3 linked regions of the Kluyveromyces lactis genome follow. The main gene of each other region encodes a partner of the protein of the gene in region 2 in a complex. Links are inferred from orthologs where the notes say so. Each region holds a gene or a part of one and is shown on either strand. Other genes may lie near its edges. The genes, in order: MRPL9, MRPL38 and MRPL39.

Evidence for each region.
Region 1: MRPL38 (region 2) and MRPL9 share a complex: the UniProt entries of both Schizosaccharomyces pombe proteins name them as parts of the mitochondrial large ribosomal subunit. The link is inferred for Kluyveromyces lactis from reciprocal best matches to the Schizosaccharomyces pombe genes mrpl38 and mrpl9.
Region 3: MRPL38 (region 2) and MRPL39 share a complex: the UniProt entries of both Schizosaccharomyces pombe proteins name them as parts of the mitochondrial large ribosomal subunit. The link is inferred for Kluyveromyces lactis from reciprocal best matches to the Schizosaccharomyces pombe genes mrpl38 and mrpl39.

The regions. Positions count from the first base shown.
Region 1 is NC_006041.1:1,424,877-1,430,899, reverse strand, and holds MRPL9 (mitochondrial 54S ribosomal protein uL3m), read right to left. Parts: upstream 3,361-6,023; coding exon 2,539-3,360; downstream 1-2,538. Other genes in the region: exportin CRM1, read left to right, coding at 1-2,169; MRPL6 (mitochondrial 54S ribosomal protein uL6m), read right to left, coding at 3,703-4,347; snoRNA-binding rRNA-processing protein IMP3, read left to right, coding at 4,876-5,427; KLLA0_E15973g (SKG-like transmembrane protein), read right to left, coding at 5,691-6,023. UniProt on the Schizosaccharomyces pombe protein: Component of the mitochondrial ribosome (mitoribosome), a dedicated translation machinery responsible for the synthesis of mitochondrial genome-encoded proteins, including at least some of the essential transmembrane subunits of the mitochondrial respiratory chain.
Region 2 is NC_006037.1:612,629-618,089, reverse strand, and holds MRPL38 (mitochondrial 54S ribosomal protein uL14m), read right to left. Parts: upstream 3,112-5,461; coding exon 2,695-3,111; downstream 1-2,694. Other genes in the region: putative serine/threonine protein kinase KKQ8, read left to right, coding at 86-2,404; protein kinase NNK1, read right to left, coding at 3,573-5,461. UniProt on the Schizosaccharomyces pombe protein: Component of the mitochondrial ribosome (mitoribosome), a dedicated translation machinery responsible for the synthesis of mitochondrial genome-encoded proteins, including at least some of the essential transmembrane subunits of the mitochondrial respiratory chain.
Region 3 is NC_006038.1:66,314-71,943, forward strand, and holds MRPL39 (mitochondrial 54S ribosomal protein bL33m), read left to right. Parts: upstream 1-1,409; coding exon 1,410-1,625; downstream 1,626-5,630. Other genes in the region: TIF35 (translation initiation factor eIF3 core subunit g), read right to left, coding at 1-479; transcription elongation factor SPT5, read right to left, coding at 1,929-5,039; RAD33 (Rad33p), read left to right, coding at 5,357-5,630. UniProt on the Schizosaccharomyces pombe protein: Component of the mitochondrial ribosome (mitoribosome), a dedicated translation machinery responsible for the synthesis of mitochondrial genome-encoded proteins, including at least some of the essential transmembrane subunits of the mitochondrial respiratory chain.

The sequences.
Region 1 (6,023 bases), on a different chromosome or scaffold from region 2:
TACTGGAATAATTTGGTTTCGGCCTTGTACCAAGAGGTGCAACAAATCCCTCAAAATCAGAATAACGTCCTATTGAAACTATCTCAAGGATCGAATATGTTCTCAGGGAGCAATGGTGCTCCTCACCCGGAATTCTTGAAAAGGTTCCCGTTAAAGAAACACATTTACGATAACATCTGTTCTCAGTTAAGATGGGTTATAATAGAATCGATGGTTAGACCAGAGGAAGTTCTTATTGTGGAAAACGATGAAGGTGAAATCGTCAGAGAGTTTGTTAAGGAGTCGGACACAATTCAGTTATATAAGTCCGAAAGGGAAGTACTTGTTTACTTGACGCATTTAGATGTTCTTGATACTGAAGACATCATGTTGAATAAATTGGCAAAGCAACTTGATGGCTCTGAATGGTCATGGCACAACATCAACACATTGTGTTGGGCTATTGGTTCTATTTCTGGTACTATGGACGAGGAAACTGAGAAAAAATTTGTCGTTACAATCATTAAAGATCTTTTAGCCTTGACTGATAAAAAGCGCGGTAAGGACAACAAGGCTGTTGTTGCATCGAACATTATGTACGTTGTCGGTCAGTACCCACGTTTCTTAAAAGCTCATTGGAAGTTCTTGAAGACAGTCATTCTAAAACTATTTGAATTTATGCATGAAACCCATGAGGGTGTTCAAGATATGGCCTGTGACACCTTCATCAAGATTGTACAGAGATGTAAACGTCACTTTGTCGTTCAACAGCCAAACGAAAGTGAACCTTTCATCCAGGCAATAATTAGAAACATTCAAGACCACACCTCCGATCTTCAACCTCAGCAAGTACACACATTTTACAAGGCTTGCGGTTTAATTATTTCTGATGAAAGAAACCCAGGAGAAAAACAAAGATTACTAGCAGATTTGATGCAACTCCCTAACATGGCATGGGACGCTATAATTCAGCAATCATCTACTCATCTGGATATTTTGTCGGACCCTGAAACTGTGAAAATCGTTACCAATATTCTAAAGACAAACGTTGCCGTTTGTTCCGCTATGGGTAATGACTTTGCTCCGCAGTTGAGTCGTAACTTCACACCAATGATGTCATTGTGCTCAGCTGTGTCTAGATGTATTTCAACACAAGTAGCCAGCGATGGGATTATTGCTACTAAGACTCCAAAGGTAAGAGGTTTAAGAACAATCAAGAAAGAAATTCTAAAATTAATGGAATTATACATTTCCAGTGCAAAGGATTTAGACTACATCGTAAATGACTTGGCATCAGCACTGTTTGACTCTGTGTTACGGGATTACTACATTACCGTACCAGATGCCCGTGACGCTGAGATTTTAAGTTGTATGACCACACTTGTCAACAAAGTTGGGCCTATGATGATCAGCGGTGTCATTTTGATTTTACAGAGTGTCTTTGAAGCTACATTAGACATGATCAATAAAGATTTCACGGAATATCCGGAACATCGTGTGGAGTTTTATAAATTATTGAGGGCCATCAACTCCAAGTGTTTCGTAGCGATATCTCAACTACCACCACCGGCTTTCAAACTTTTCGTTGATGCCATATGTTGGGCGTTCAAACACAACAACAGAGATGTTGAGGTAAATGGGTTACAAATTGCTTTAGACCTTATTCAAAACGTTGATTCCGCTAGTCCGTCTGAATTCTCTAACGATTTCTACAAGAACTATTACTTCACATTCCTTAGCGAAACCTTCTATGTCCTCACTGATTCAGATCACAAATCTGGATTCAGCAAGCAAGCTCATCTTTTAATGAATTTGATTGCCAGAGTAGAAGAAAATAGAATAGCTGTACCATTATACAAGGAAGATGAAGCTCCTGCAGTCACTTCTAATCAAGCTTACTTGGCTAACTATCTAGCAACCATGTTAAGCAATGCATTCCCTCATTTGAGTGGTGAACAGGTTATGAACTTCATTCAAGCGCTACTCAAACAATATCATGATCCAAAGCATTTCACTGGTACTATTAGAGATTTCTTGGTCCAGATCAAGGAGTTCGGTGGAGATCCAACCGATTATTTGTTCGCAGAGGACAAAGAACAAGCTCTCGCGGAACAACATAAACTTGAAAGAGAAAGAGCTTCCAAGATCGGTGGGTTATTGAAACCATCGGAATTGGATGATGATGAGTAAAGATAACACCTTACAGAAATGTACAGCATGGTCAAGAAACGAAAAAGTTTCTGCGGATCCAATGAAAGCTGAAACTAACACTTGTCAAGCAAGGCAAATATATACATAGCAGGCCGTATATCTTCCCACATAGAGAAAAAAATTGTAATCAATTCTCTCCGACATATACCCAGGATCCAGTATCAACGTATGAAAGCCATTAAATATCTGGTTGAAAAGGACACTCAACGTTGCAGCAGTTACTATTTTATAATTGGTGTATATACAGGTATAGATTGTTAATAATAACCGTAGAAAGGCATGCTTTCCAAATGATTTCGGGACGGTGTCTAAACGACTGAAAAGATTCAATTTCTTAATCACAGTTTTTTATACTGGGGTTGGCTTTTTGATAGCATCTTGGATCTTAACGAATGCACCATTTGGACCTGCGACAGAGCCCTTCACCAAGACAGTACCTGTTTCGTCGTTGACGTCCAGCACTTGCACGTTTTGAATTGTTACAGTGTCGACACCCATATGACCAGGCATCTTTTTCCCAGGCAACACACGACCAGGTGTTTGATTTTGACCGTAAGAACCACCAGATCTGTGAGATACGGAAACACCGTGGGATGCCTTCAAACCTTTGAATCCATAACGTTTCATTACACCTTGGAAACCCTTACCTTTGCTGATTGATCTTAAATCAACGTATTGGCCAGGCTTGAACCACGAAGGTTTGATTAAAGAACCCACTGGTAGTAGTCCAGATTCGTCCTTGACTCTAAACTCGGTAACTTTTTCCTTTGGATTCACAACATGTGCAGCGAAATGTCCCAACATTTGTCTGGTAACATTCTCCGGCGACTTGTTACCATAACCAATTTGGCAAGCCCAGTAATTGTTTTCAGCTGGAGTTCTGTGTAGTATAACTTCGTTATTGTCCAACTGAAGTACAGTAGCTGCTATACGTTTACCAGTCTCTTTCTCGAAATACGGCATCATCCCTACTTTTTTACTCAAAGCACCACAACGTAGAGGTAATCTTCTTCTCTTTAGCGCATTTTCTGGAGAATGTTTAATATCTACAGGATCTAGATGAATGCTGCTTGCCACGGATGGTGCGACTAACTTGGCACCGTTCGATACTCCACTTTGTGAGAAAAGTCTTGTCCAAATCTTCGACGAAGGACTGCCAATAAATGCCATTATTCCCCAATTTTCAAAGACTGGTCGATTGATAACAAATGTGTCAATCCAGATAACCTCTTGGCAATGCTGGAGAAACTGTAAAGGATTTAAAATGTAGTTTAAAGACTCTATTGAAACCTGTTTCCATCTCTGTATAATTGTTAAAGCTGTTTCGATATTGAAAATTTTTTGAATCGATAAAGTTACCTATAGATCACGTGATTAAAACGGCACGTAGTTCTCTCACTGATTTAACACAAATTAAGTGTGCCCTTGACGGTTATTGGAAGTGTATGTTTATGCTTCTGTATTTACATGTTATTTAATATTATAATAATTATAATCATCATTCTATCGTCATCATTTGATCTTCTTATCCTTGATCTTGATAGTTTCATTGTTAACGTAGATACCTTTACCCTTATATGGTTCTGGAGGATGGAATTTTCTCAAGTTGGCAGCGAAGAGTAGCACTTGTTGCTTGTTGACACCTTCCACGATCAACGACGTGGGTACCGGAGACTTAACTATGATTCCCTCTGGGATAGGTAGGCCTTGTCTTACCGACGCACCGACTTTGACGTTGACAAAGGTGTTATTTTCCTCCAATTGAGCTCTGTAACCGGTACCAACGAACTTCAGAACAGCCATATGGCTCTCATTCACGCCTGTGATATGATTATTTATATGAGATCTTACCGTCCCCCACATGGATCTTTGCGTCTTGTCGGTAGAATCCTTCACTGCAACTTCGATTTTTCCCGAAGATCCATCCTGCTTTATCTCCACGAAATCTGGGATTTCCATATCAATCTTCCCCAAAGGACCCGATACAGTTACGTTCTGAGATAACTTAAGAGATTTGTTACCCTTTCTGATGATCTTTGGCAGTTTCATTGATTCCACCACCAACTTGGTCTCCGGTGTCAAATACACCGGAGAAGAACCAATATGTGAGCGCAGAAGAGCCGACACAGAAAAGAGTCTTCTGGAAACAAATGTCATGGTAATTGTGTATATCCTGGAAATAGTCTAGCCCACTTTGCAGCCGCTATATGACTGGGTATATTAGATCAAATGCGTCTATATCAATCTGTTCTTCCAGCACTCATCTCTATGCGTCTTTCAACCAATTTTTCACTTGGAATCAAAATTTTAATAGTGAGATAGTATGGGAGGGTAACTTTAATTGCTTTGACGATTGTTAAATAAGATATACTTAGGCTGTTACTCTCGATTGGTGACCATCTAGGCCACTCCTGGGTCGAAATGGGATGTGGAGACTGCTCTTCGTCGAAACACAGGAGTAAATACCTTGTGCTTATATTATCCTGTGCATCACGTGACTTGTTGATCTTTGCCCTTTCTTTTTGAAAAATTTCAAGCTCATCGCCTACGCATCGTCATCTCATCTCAATTACTGAATGATATAGCAGGCTGAAGTGGTTTCAAGAGCGTTCAGCAAGTCATTTGGTGGTCTCATAGCCAATATAAGGATAGGATACTCCAAGCAGATACACTAGGTAATACAGTATGGTAAGAGCATTGAAACATCATGAGCAGAAGCTTCTCAAGAAGGTCGATTTCTACGAATGGAAACAGGACCAGAACCACAGAGATACGCAGGTGATGCGTACGTACCATATCCAGAACCGTGAGGATTATCATAAATATAACAGAATATGTGGTGATGTGCGTCGTTTGGCACATAAGCTATCGCTTTTACAACCTACAGATCCCTTCCGTATCAAGCACGAGCAGCTCTTGCTAGAGAAACTATATCATATGGGCATTCTTTCAACAAAATCCAAGATATCAGCACTAGAGAATAAAGTTACAGTCTCGGCTTTCTGTCGTCGTAGATTGCCTGTAATAATGCATAGATTAAAGATGGCACAGACACTCAAGGATGCCGTTCAATTCATTGAACAAGGTCATGTTAGAGTAGGACCTAACTTGATTACAGATCCAGCATATTTGGTAACAAGGAATTTGGAGGATTACGTTACATGGACAGATTCATCCAAGATCAAGAAGACTGTACTACGTTATAGAAACGCGGTCGATGATTTTGACGATGCCTAGATTGATCCTGCTATACTTGCCTTCGGAAGTAGGAAAAAGGGCAAAAACTATTATTTTACAAATTTGAAAGGAAAGTAAGTAGTAGTGGTATATATGTATCATAAGAAAAAGTATTCTAATTACAATCTTTTGCTTCGAGCTCGGTTCCAATGTATATGGATATGCCGGATAATGCATATAAACACGTAAGGATTGTATTCAACAAGACTCCAAAAGAGGTCTAAAAAAACAGAATGGTAAAACAAAGGGAAATAATGCTCCCTTTACATGACATTGTAATTGTGTGATGAGCCCAACTGCTTTCTTAGATCTTCTTGCGATCCGGAGTGCGGTAGAATAGTCCCCATGCTTGGTGGATGCATAACGTCGGTGTCGTCAAGAATACCGCTTACTCTCGATTTAATATAAGTGTCTTGTAACTGTTGTTGATAAGTGTTAGTATTTGACATCAAACTGTTGGATCTTGAATCCGCTACAGCACGAGAGAATGATCCAGCTGGCTTGAAAAGGTTATTTTGAGACAACTCGTTTGGATTTGTCATCACCACGGATTGTCTCAAATGATGAGGTAATACCTTGCTTCCTGCAGAGTTAAT
Region 2 (5,461 bases):
TTTGATATCAGATTTCTAGAGTTTTAAACGTTTCCTTGTTGTTTTATTTCATATTTGATATCTTCATTTGCTGATTTAATCCATAATGGCTTCATCTAATGTGGACTCTTCTGAGCCCCGTATTTCCAGAGAAAGCTCTTTGAAGAGGTCTCTATCTATTTCAAAGTCGTTAAAAGGGTTGTTCAAGTCAGGAGGGGGAAACGCCAATACTGGCCCTACTACTGCTGCTGCTGCTGCTGCACCATCTAGTATCAGTACTCCGGAAGTCCCCACCTTGGCCACTAAAGATAAACAGGATAGATTGAAGAATTTAGCTGCTAATAAAGAAAAAGAGTTGCAGACCAGTCGGAGAGGTGTAGCGTCACCGAGCCTCTCTCCTACAAGACATGTTAGTTTATCCAATCTTGCGAAATTGTCGCTCACATCTAGAGCAGGTACTGGACAAGTGGATCCAAACGTCATACACGAGACAAGTCCGCTGGCGTCGGATGAGGAGTCGACAGACCTGGCTTTCGGGAAGAGGCAAAGCTCATCGAATAGATCGTCATCCTTTTCAAATGAGGAGCAAGAGCCAAATAATAAATATCCACTACTAGAAAAACTAATGGGCGATTTGGATGAGATGGTATGCGGTAGTATTGATACACAGCTTTCAAAATCTCCTGACACCGTAGAAGCTTCGTCACTGAGAAGATCGAGATCAACGCAACGGAAGAGACTGAACTCGTTTTCACTACGTCCAAGGGCATTGTCTAATCCTGGTCAAAATCCCAATCATCCAGTCGAGAATAGAGAAAGGTCTAATACATCAAGTATTGATCTGCTTATGAGCCACGAGTCTGAATCTAGAGCTATTTACAAGTCGGATCAGTTTAGTGTCTATCCTGATGGCCATCATGCTCACCACTTGAAAGTGGTGCCTATAGTACATGATTTAGAGCAATCTTTGAACAAACCTAAGAGCTCGTTTTCATTTTCTGGTTTTTTTAAGACTCACCGTACCATTGCCGATGATGGAGAGAATTTGGCGACAGCATTGTCGTTATTGCCAGCAAACCGGTTTAGTTTCCACAAGAGACTCAGTCAGATAATAGACGAGGAAAACGGTAATCATAATGCGGATGAGGAACTTGAGCATAATGGAAATAATGGTGTTGATTCCGATTCAGATGCGGATTATGACAACCAGTCCTCTGGAAATTCGAACCCATCTGATGACGAATCCGAATCTGATGAAGATGGTTATAAGGGACCAAATAAATCAGCCAATGTACCAAAGATTGTTAACGAAAAATCCGTCATTGGTGCTAACGAATTGAAACTGATAAACCAATTAACCGAAAAGATCGATAACGGATTTTGTTTGAAGGGCTCTAAGTCTGATGCAGTTTCCTCCAATGAACCTTCTTCTGCTCCACGAAAGCAGCATTTATGTGAGAAATACGGGAAGTCGATCGGTATCATTGGACAAGGTGCCTATGGGGTTGTAAAACTATGCTATAAATTTATTGACCCAGATGAACCTGATCTGAAAGATAATACATATTTCCATGATAACAAGTTATTCTATGCGGTAAAAGAACTGAAGCCAAGACCTGATGAGCCTCCAAAGAAGTTTAGCACAAGACTAACCTCAGAATTTGTGATAGGATTATCGTTGAGTGGTGGTAACAAAAGCAGAAGATCTTCGGCAAGAACACATCCTAACATTTTAAACGTTATTGATTTAATGCAAACACCTAACGCATTTTATGAAGTAATGGAATTTTGCCCTTCAGGTGATCTATACAGCTTGATTACAAGAAGCTCAAAATCTGATTCAGTTTTACATCCATTAGAAGCAGATTGCTTCATGAAACAACTACTACATGGTATTCAATACATGCATGCTCACGGTGTAGCTCATTGTGATATTAAACCAGAAAACTTGCTATTTCTCCCTACAGGTGTATTAAAAATATGTGATTTTGGTACAAGTTCTGTGTTCCAAACAGCCTGGGAAAAGAAAGCACATTTCCAAACCGGACCAGCAGGATCTGAGCCTTATGTTGCGCCTGAGGAGTTTATTCCAAAACAACAATACGATCCAAGACTAGTTGATTGCTGGAGCTGTGGTATTATCTACTGTGTTATGGTTTTAGGCCATTATTTATGGAAAATTGCTATCAAAGGCAAGGATTCAGTATATGACGCATTCCTCGAGGATATGGAAAAACATGGACAATATTATGTATTTGACGAAATGAAACATGTGTCTCCAGGTATGAACCGGTACAGAACTGCTGCACTTTATCATATCTTCCAAGTTGATCCGAATAAAAGGATAACGGTGGATTCATTGCTAAAAAGTTCGTGGATGAAGAGGACAAAATGCTGCGTTACATATCCACCAAGGCCGGTGTAACACCAAAATTTGTTTCATAGCTGAAGGCCTTGCTACTTTGGCAGATTTAGATTAGTTTCTTTCGCATCATTTTTATCTATATTTAAGATAAACATACATCTCTTTGAAACACTTATAAAATATTGATATCACTGTCAATGAGCAATAAGTTGGTAGTCGCGTATCCATCATATTTATCATGGCATTTTCATAAACTTTACTAACGATATTTTCTATTTTTTATTATCTATATACATGATTCTAAAAGCCCTGCGCAGTCGTAATCGATATTTACCAGTGGTGAAACATATTTACAAAACTTTACTTGCTAGAGAGCAAATCTTGTTGTAGCCCTTTTCCCTTAGTTCTCTGCCGACAACACCATCGTTACCCATAATTCTTGACCCTAGAGGTTCACCATTATTCTTGTTGATTAATACACAAGCATTGTCACCGAACGCAATTGTTGATCCATCAGGACGTATCATATTTCTTTGCTTGGTACGTACCACCACAGCGTGTACAATATCACCTTTCTTCACTCTGTTGTTATTGGATTGCCCAGTAATAGTTTGTGTTAATGGTTTAGCCTTCTTCACCACACAGACGATTTTGTCACCTATTCTACCTGGAGATTTTGGCGAACCTTTTCCAAGTACTTTGATACATTCGGCAATTTGAGCACCTGAGTTGTCAATGACTTTCAAAAAAGACTTCAAATAAATCATGTTATAACAGTCACAGTGTGAACTTCAGTTAGGTCGTGTGCTGCAGGCTGCTACTGATCGGGAAAGCACAGCTTTTCTTCCTGGACTATCGTTAGAGAAAGGATTAAAGCTTTCTATGTCTGGTTTCATCAAATTTTTTCTTAACCCATAATTGATGTATATCACGTGATTGATTTATTATTGGCTAATCAACGCCATTATCAACGCTTACTACATACAAATAAAGTGCTTACAACGCCGTCATTGTTAAGACAGCTGGTGTTTTCATTAGTTATCGTTATATACTTCAGTAAAATTATTAAGTATTATGCTGTTGAGAATGGTAAAACATCAGAAAAAAGGTCAATGTAACAGTATGCGTTACTATTAATGCTATTGGTATGCTTGTTGAATTAAAAATTAAGGGTTATAACTGACAAGGACAGAATAGTAGAAAATATTTTGTTAGTTTAGGATTAGTTTCAATGCTTACCCAGAGCTACTTTCACCATATCAAGTTCCCATCTCCGGGTTAAGTCTTTCGTTAAGCAGCCCTTCACTGCGTTGAATAGACCTTGGAATTCCACCTGGTCATCTACACCCAAGTTCGAGTTCATATCACAGTTACAAACTTGGCGTAGTGTCGTTTTATCATATTTACCTGAAGTTATTATTGCACGAAGTCTGGGCTCGTATTCATGTTTAAAAGGTAATTTGCCGGTAAGCATGGTGAAAATTAAAACACCAATGGCCCATATATCAGCGCTTGGTCCAATGGGAGGAGGGTTGGGTTCTAGTAACTCCGGAGCAGCGTATGGTAAAGAGCCAATTCTGCTCATGTCATCGTTGATATGTTCATGCAAATCTTTGTTAGGTGTTAATGTAATGTCTGTTTTTTGGTTCAACGAGCTGGTTAGGTTAGAACGAGTGCTCTTTGGTACGGAGTGAATACCCAAAGTCGTATCATCATGAATTAATTTTTTATCGTTCACTATTTGTCTTAACCTTGATTTCAACCGTAAAGAAGAATTATTCGTTGAAGAGGAAGATCTTGGAATTGAGGGTCTTCGTTTCAAGTGAAGAGTAGACCCATCAAATAGGGATTTCAGTTGAATTGATTCATTTTCCATCTGATCTTTGAAATGGCCATAAAAGTGACTCATGCCAAAATCGCATAATACAAGCTTCCAATCTTTGTAGTTCTCAGACTTTTTTTCTAGAAGGCAATTTTCCAACTTTATATCTCCATGTGCAATGAATTTAGAATGCATATATTGTACAGCATCAATTAATTGTAACGCTAAGGCGGATGTAGCTTGACACCTTTCTCTTAAACTAATCTTTGAATTACCACATTCGCCCCAAGAAACAACTAAATCGTATAAGGTTCCATGATCGATCTTATCTGTTAAACAATATGCCACCAGATCATCGTCTAATTTCCATTTTGTTAAAGGAAGAATATTATTGTGGGAAAGTTTCGACCATATTGAGATTTCACGTAGTACTTGCCTCTTTACACTTCGATTGTCCTTGAACTTGATAATCTTCATCGCCTTGCAACAAGTATTATTCTGGTTTTGAGATTCATCTGTAGAAGGGAAACATTCCCTGATCATACCCCAAGCGCCGAACCCTATTATTTTGCCAAGTCTATGACCCAAAATGAAAGACCCTTTATCGTCCCTCTTGAAAGAACTAGAACCGGGGGTAAAAGAGTTCAAGTATTTCGATGCAACTGATCCATGTCTGGATCTCACGTTATGTGTTGAGCCACTGTGGCTTAATTTCTCACGTTTCAAAATGTTCATAATAGTCTTATAGTCATGGTTGGGACTTAAATCCTGTATGATCTTCTTACGTTGGGAAAATGGCATATTGATGAAATCCGATGGAATAGATCTCATAATTCTATCTAGGTCATGTTCTGATATTTCAATTTGGGCAGGTGGAGTTCTCAGAGACGATGCAGAAAATAACGATGATGAGCTCGGTCTTGCTATAGGAATTTGAGGCTGTTGCTCATTTTTAACATTTGGTAAAGGGATAGGAGCCACTTGGGAATGCAAATCGTCTAGTTTCAATACTGATTCCTTCTGTGGCTTACCAAGATAGTCTGGTTCCCATGTATTGAAACGTGAAAGCATATTGGTATCATCTGAGCTTTGCCACTGCGAAACGGCCTCAGCAAAATCGAAATCTGGGATGTACTCATCTTGCATATCATTGAACAAGGGCAGGCCCTGGTTATAACGTTCGTTGAAGTAAGGAGATCTCAAGGGGGATTCTCCAGACGAGAATCTACGCCTTATTACATGCTGATGTCTTGCCTGACGGTACCCTCCAACGTCTGGTTTTGGTTCAATATCAA
Region 3 (5,630 bases), on a different chromosome or scaffold from region 2:
GGTGGCACGTATCTGCCAGAGCCAGAGCCTCCTTGAGCGCTCATATCTCCACCACCGATAGCCGGGTCTAAACCAGCAGATGTAGTAGGTTTCTTTCCCAAAGTGTCTTTGTACGGACAATGCATGGTGAAATGCGCACCACCACAAATTCTACAAGTAATTACCTTTTGAGTCGAGTTAGCAGCCTTCTCCTTTGCCTTTTCTTCTTCCATTTCCTTCCAGTTAGGAGACAAGTCTAACTCTAATTCTTCACCTAATTGAGTGGTTGAAATATCTGGTCCTGGGGCAGCTCCCTTATCAGCACCATATTTCTTCCAATTTCTTCTCAAGGCGATGTTCTTGTTAACTTTCTCGGTGACAGTAATTTCCTTAACCTTCTGCGTAACCTTGTACTTCTTACCATCTTGGATTTTGAAACTGATGACGGTTTTGGAACCATCGTCATTCTCGATGATTCTTGGTTCAGGAATAGCTGACATGTTGTGAATCTTTGTATTATCTCCTTAAAAAAATAGGATTGTAGAAAAAATTCCTTTAATTTCTAGACGCGTGTTATACTATCAACAATTAAGAAGCCCAATTCTGATTTGAGGTATGTCAAATATCCTCCTTTCAAGTTATGGGTCTGTAGATAATCTGATCGATATCAATTAATTCTCTTTGAAGAAAAAAACTTCGCACAGATGATAGTCTCAAATTTTTGTTTCAGTTCTTTATTGAAACACGTAAATCGGATACACTTGGCGCAGTATACTCCTTTCTTCTATCAAACAGCTGGATGAAACCCTATGCACCTTCTAGGGTCACCTTACCATTACGTTTATTTTAGCAGGTAACTTAGAACTCATTTGAATTTCCATTTTTTTCTCTTCTCTTTCGCTGATTTTGCCTCTGTCTCTATGCGATGAGCTTTGGAAAATTTTCAAAATTTTCATCAGTAATGTATATCGTGTTGCACGGGTGTAACAGAGATCCGTAAGCTCCAGCACTAATTAGTTACCTTAATTATACCGTACTGTGTACACCAATCAATTCAGTTAATACCTTCTTGTTGATAAAAGCGTAGAGTAACTATATGCGAATACTTAACTTGACTTGTGAATATGTATCTGTTTCACGTGATATGAAGTACGGATCATTTTTATGTATATTGCATATTCATCAAAACGTATGTAGTGATTTGACAAAATTTTGATTATCCATTACTTCTTCTTTAGCAATGTATCCGACCCAATCAATACTGAAAGTAGTGGGAGTTCATCAATTTCTGCATAGGACGGTGTATCATCGGAAAGTATTAAGGGCAGAAAGTAATATTATCCTGCGTACTTCTCTGTCTCAAATTCAAATTCAAGGAATTTCACAGAGCTAAGGATATCATATATAAACTGCAAACGAACAGGAAAACGATGGCCAAGGCTAAGACAAAGACTACAGTTATCAAACTGATATCAACTGCTATGACAGGTGTGAGCCGTCATGTCACGATAAATAGAGCTGCACCATTAGTGACGCAGGTGAGGTACGACCCTGTAGCTAAACGTCATGTTTTGTTCAAAGAGGCCAAGAAAAGAAAGGTTGCAGAGAGGAAACCATTGGACTTCTTACGTACCGCAAGACGTTAATGAATTGTATTTAACAATTTAACCACACCATTTGCATGTATATAGAAAACACTCACACTGCAATAACTACCGTTGAAATAGACGTGATTTAAGAGTTCTATAGTAGTATCGGTTTGTAGTAAAGAAACGAAATTTTTAACTAAATTACATTTACTTAATTCACTTATTTAATTGGTTTCTGAGACTAATTTGGGCAAGACTATATATACAACATCCACATCGCGTGGAGTAATTTGGAGATAATAAGATGAACAATTGATAGGTTTGTAAATTATCGTGAGGCAATAACTTGTATGATTATTTCTAATTATTTCCACCCCACGTACTTCCACCACCTCTAGCATCCTGATTACCCCAAGCAGATCTATTGCCGCTATTGTTGTGTTGGGATGCATTGCCCCATGCGGATCTCTCTCCTGAGTTATGCTGCGATTGATTGTTACCCCAAGTGGAACTTCCACCGGTGTTTTTAGATCGTTGTGATTTATTACCACTGCCACCCCAGGCAGAGACACCTCCCTGGTTACCACCCCAGGTAGAAGTACCTCCATAGCTTGATTTATTGCCACCGCCCCAGGCAGAAGCTGCTCCTGATTCTCCGCTTGCTGCCCAAGAAGAGGCGCCTCCATAACTAGATTTATTACCCCAAGTGGACGCACCACCCCAAGTTGATGTAGCACCTTGCCCACCCCAGGTGGAAGTGTTTCCAGCAGCTCCACCCCAGGCAGAAGCACCACCAGGGCCTTGTCCGCCCCATGTCGAAGCACCACCCCAGGATGAAGTTCCTCCGTTCTGGCCAACCGCAGGAGTTTTACCGCCATCAAATGCATTCCAACCAGGAGTCATTCCACCAGGAAGTTGTTGCGGAGTGTTCGTTGCCACCGCACCACCGGCAGCCATGTGTCTTGGTGCACTGACATAGCTTGGGCCCAATCTGGTATGTGGAGTTCTACCACGTCTACTAACAAGTTCATCGTATGTTATACCTTCACCACCTTCATGACTGAAGTAAGTAAGTTTTCTTTTGTCTATTGTAATATGCTTATTTTTGGAGTGCAATTCAATAGTAGCCTTATCTCCATTGACGTCTTTGACAATACCCAACTGCCCCTTGTATCCCGCAGAACGTATCCTAACAGTTTTGTTCAAAGCGACGTCACGGCCAACTAACCGCGTCTGCTGAGTAGTTTGTGGTGGTCCCATCTTAGACGCAATATTTGGATTTATTTTAGATAAATCCAATGCTGACGACATCAAGTTTTCTTTTGAGGCGACAGCCTCGACATTCATTGGATTAACAACGAAAACACCGGCATTTTCCGTTATTGTTTTCGATCTAATGAAAATATGTTGGTTTTGAACGTAGAGTACTTGTCCCTCTCTACGGGAACCGATCTTTTCTCTTACTACATCGCCAATTTTTATTTCTCTACCATTACCATCGACAGCAGCTACTTTCGCTCTTGCTACATTGATCTTGGCAAGAATTGAGCCTTTAGTAACAGTAGCCACTTTACCGGAGTCGTCAATAATCTTGAAAATATCATGTCCAGCCTGGATCACACATGCCACGTTTTTGGCACTTAACTCAACAATGTCATGTAGAGCGTACTCGCTTGATGTCGGAGTAGAATCCATAGATTTACTCAAGTTATTCGCAGAGATTGTCAAATTTTCTCTAGTTTGGTCAGAAACAAATGTGACTTGACCGTTCTGCACCAAAAGAACCAAACCAGCGTTACCTTCATGTTCACCAGCTATTACTGTGACATGGTCACCAAGTTCGAAAATTTTTCTTAGAGATGCAATTGGGAACTCTAATGATTTATCTGAAAAGCCCGATAGTTTAACGCTGATGACGTCTTTAGAACTTCTAGTCACCACACCTCTAGATCCACGTTGTTCCCCGGTCAACACTTCAACACGGTCACCTGGTTGAAACATAGCTTTAGAAGCTTGAGCTTTTTTCATAGTTTGAGCAATAGCTGCTAGATCGACATCACCTTCTTTACTGCCGAACCTTGATAATTCTTCCACCGTAGGTTGGATATTCTTTGTATCAAGATACTGAATCTTAAAAGATTTGAAAAGATAACCGTCAACATAATCTTCCTTCCTGTAAGTGAAGTGCCTGTCATCTCTTTTGAATAAGTTGGCTTGGTCTAACCTTAATGCCATAGTAGGGTTAAATAATTGAGGAGGAGGCCTACTAGCAAACGTTGCTCTCTTTGCCTTTCTCTGATTTGTATCTGGGTCGATTTCGTCATTTTTACCGTAGTCTAATCTGGGTACAATCTTTAATAGAGCTTCTAAGTTGTTCTGACTAATTTGATCAATGACTGCCAAATCATTCTTATAAATACCCCTTTTAATTCTAACATAAGAACCAACATCAAGTCTCACTTCATCTGACTTGGTAGGCTTTAATAGTAAAGGTAGTTCTTGCACGGGAATCAAAAGCTTTTGATTAGAATAGACATCTGGAACACCGTTGACAAATTTTTCGATAACAGATTGTTTTGGAGCTTCGATATAGATTCTTCCTGTGTAATTGTCTCTTTGGAAGATGGACAGAATCTTTAATTTTTTAGAGCCCATAGATTTATCCAAGTTAAACTTCTTATTTAGCAACTTTCTCACTAGTTCTTTCTCCTTCCCTGGTCTACAACGAACGGACCAAATAATAGCAGTATCAACACTTGGTAACATAAACCTCTGAGGTACATACCCACCTTGAGTTTGTACACGGTAATCTTTGGAAGAGTCACGACCATAACGTTTCTTGAAGTCTTCAGCGATCTTGTGCATGTCTTCATCCGCAGTTTTTTGAAGATTTTGATCTAATTCTCTATGCAGTCTGTCATCAACTCTACCACCACGATCCTCTTCGTCTTCTTCGTCACCGCGAGTAATGAAACCTTCACGAACTAGTTCTGAATCTTCTTCATCTTCTTCGTCGTCTTCGTCTTCACTGACTTCGGCTTCAATATCCAAGAATCTGTTTCTTTCACGACGTTGCTTCTTCCTATATGATTCGACATCTTCATCTTCGTCATCGTCATCGTCATTGTCATCGTCGTCATTGTCATCTTCATCATCTTCATCGTCTTTGTTTTCTTGACTGTTTTCTTGATTGTTCCCTTGATTTCCCCTAATTGGACTATCTTCAGTAGCCTCTGTCTTTGGTTTAGAATCAGTAGGAGCGTCCTTTAACTGATCGACAGATGCAGAGTTGTTTTCAGAACTCCCATCAACTTCATCGATAGTTCTTTTCTTGCCTCCAACCACATCTGTAGAATCAGACGAAGATGAAGTAGAGTTATGCTCCTTATCTTGACTCTCAACTGACCCAGAAACTGTTTCAGGTACAGAAACAGCCTCTGCTTTATCGGATTCCTCAGCAGTACCGCTCATGACGTCTTACTGACTGTTGCTTTGTATCGTGAATGCGAACTGTAATGCATACTGATCATCATTACAACTTAGCGTGGACTACCATTTTTGTATTGAAAATTGGGAAGTTTAGATTGAAATTTTTCAAGGATCACAAATAGAGGGTAACTCTCGCCTAAGTATTTCAAAAGTACTTAAGTAGCCGATGAATCAGTCTGCATCACTTCATAACGAACGGGCAGCTAGTACCTTATGTAGTCTTTAATATATAACATCAGCTCTGGCTACGTTAAGGACAATATTAACCGATGAGTCATTGCTGACCAGATAATGTAGTTATGCGGAAAAAGAATGATGTCAGTTATGACACAATTACCAGATGGAATGAGGCCAGAATGCCCACCGAGATTGAAGATGAAGTCCTATCGATATATTTAAGCTTCACCGAAGAAGGTGAATTCAAGTGGGCTGATATTTCTAGTTTTTATACGGAATTACAAATCAGTAAATCATGGTACGGATTATTAGAATTCAAGGACTTATGCTTGGATGGAATTGACGTCATAGATTTCGAAAAACTCTTGGATGTCACTTATCGACTCTTGATCTTCA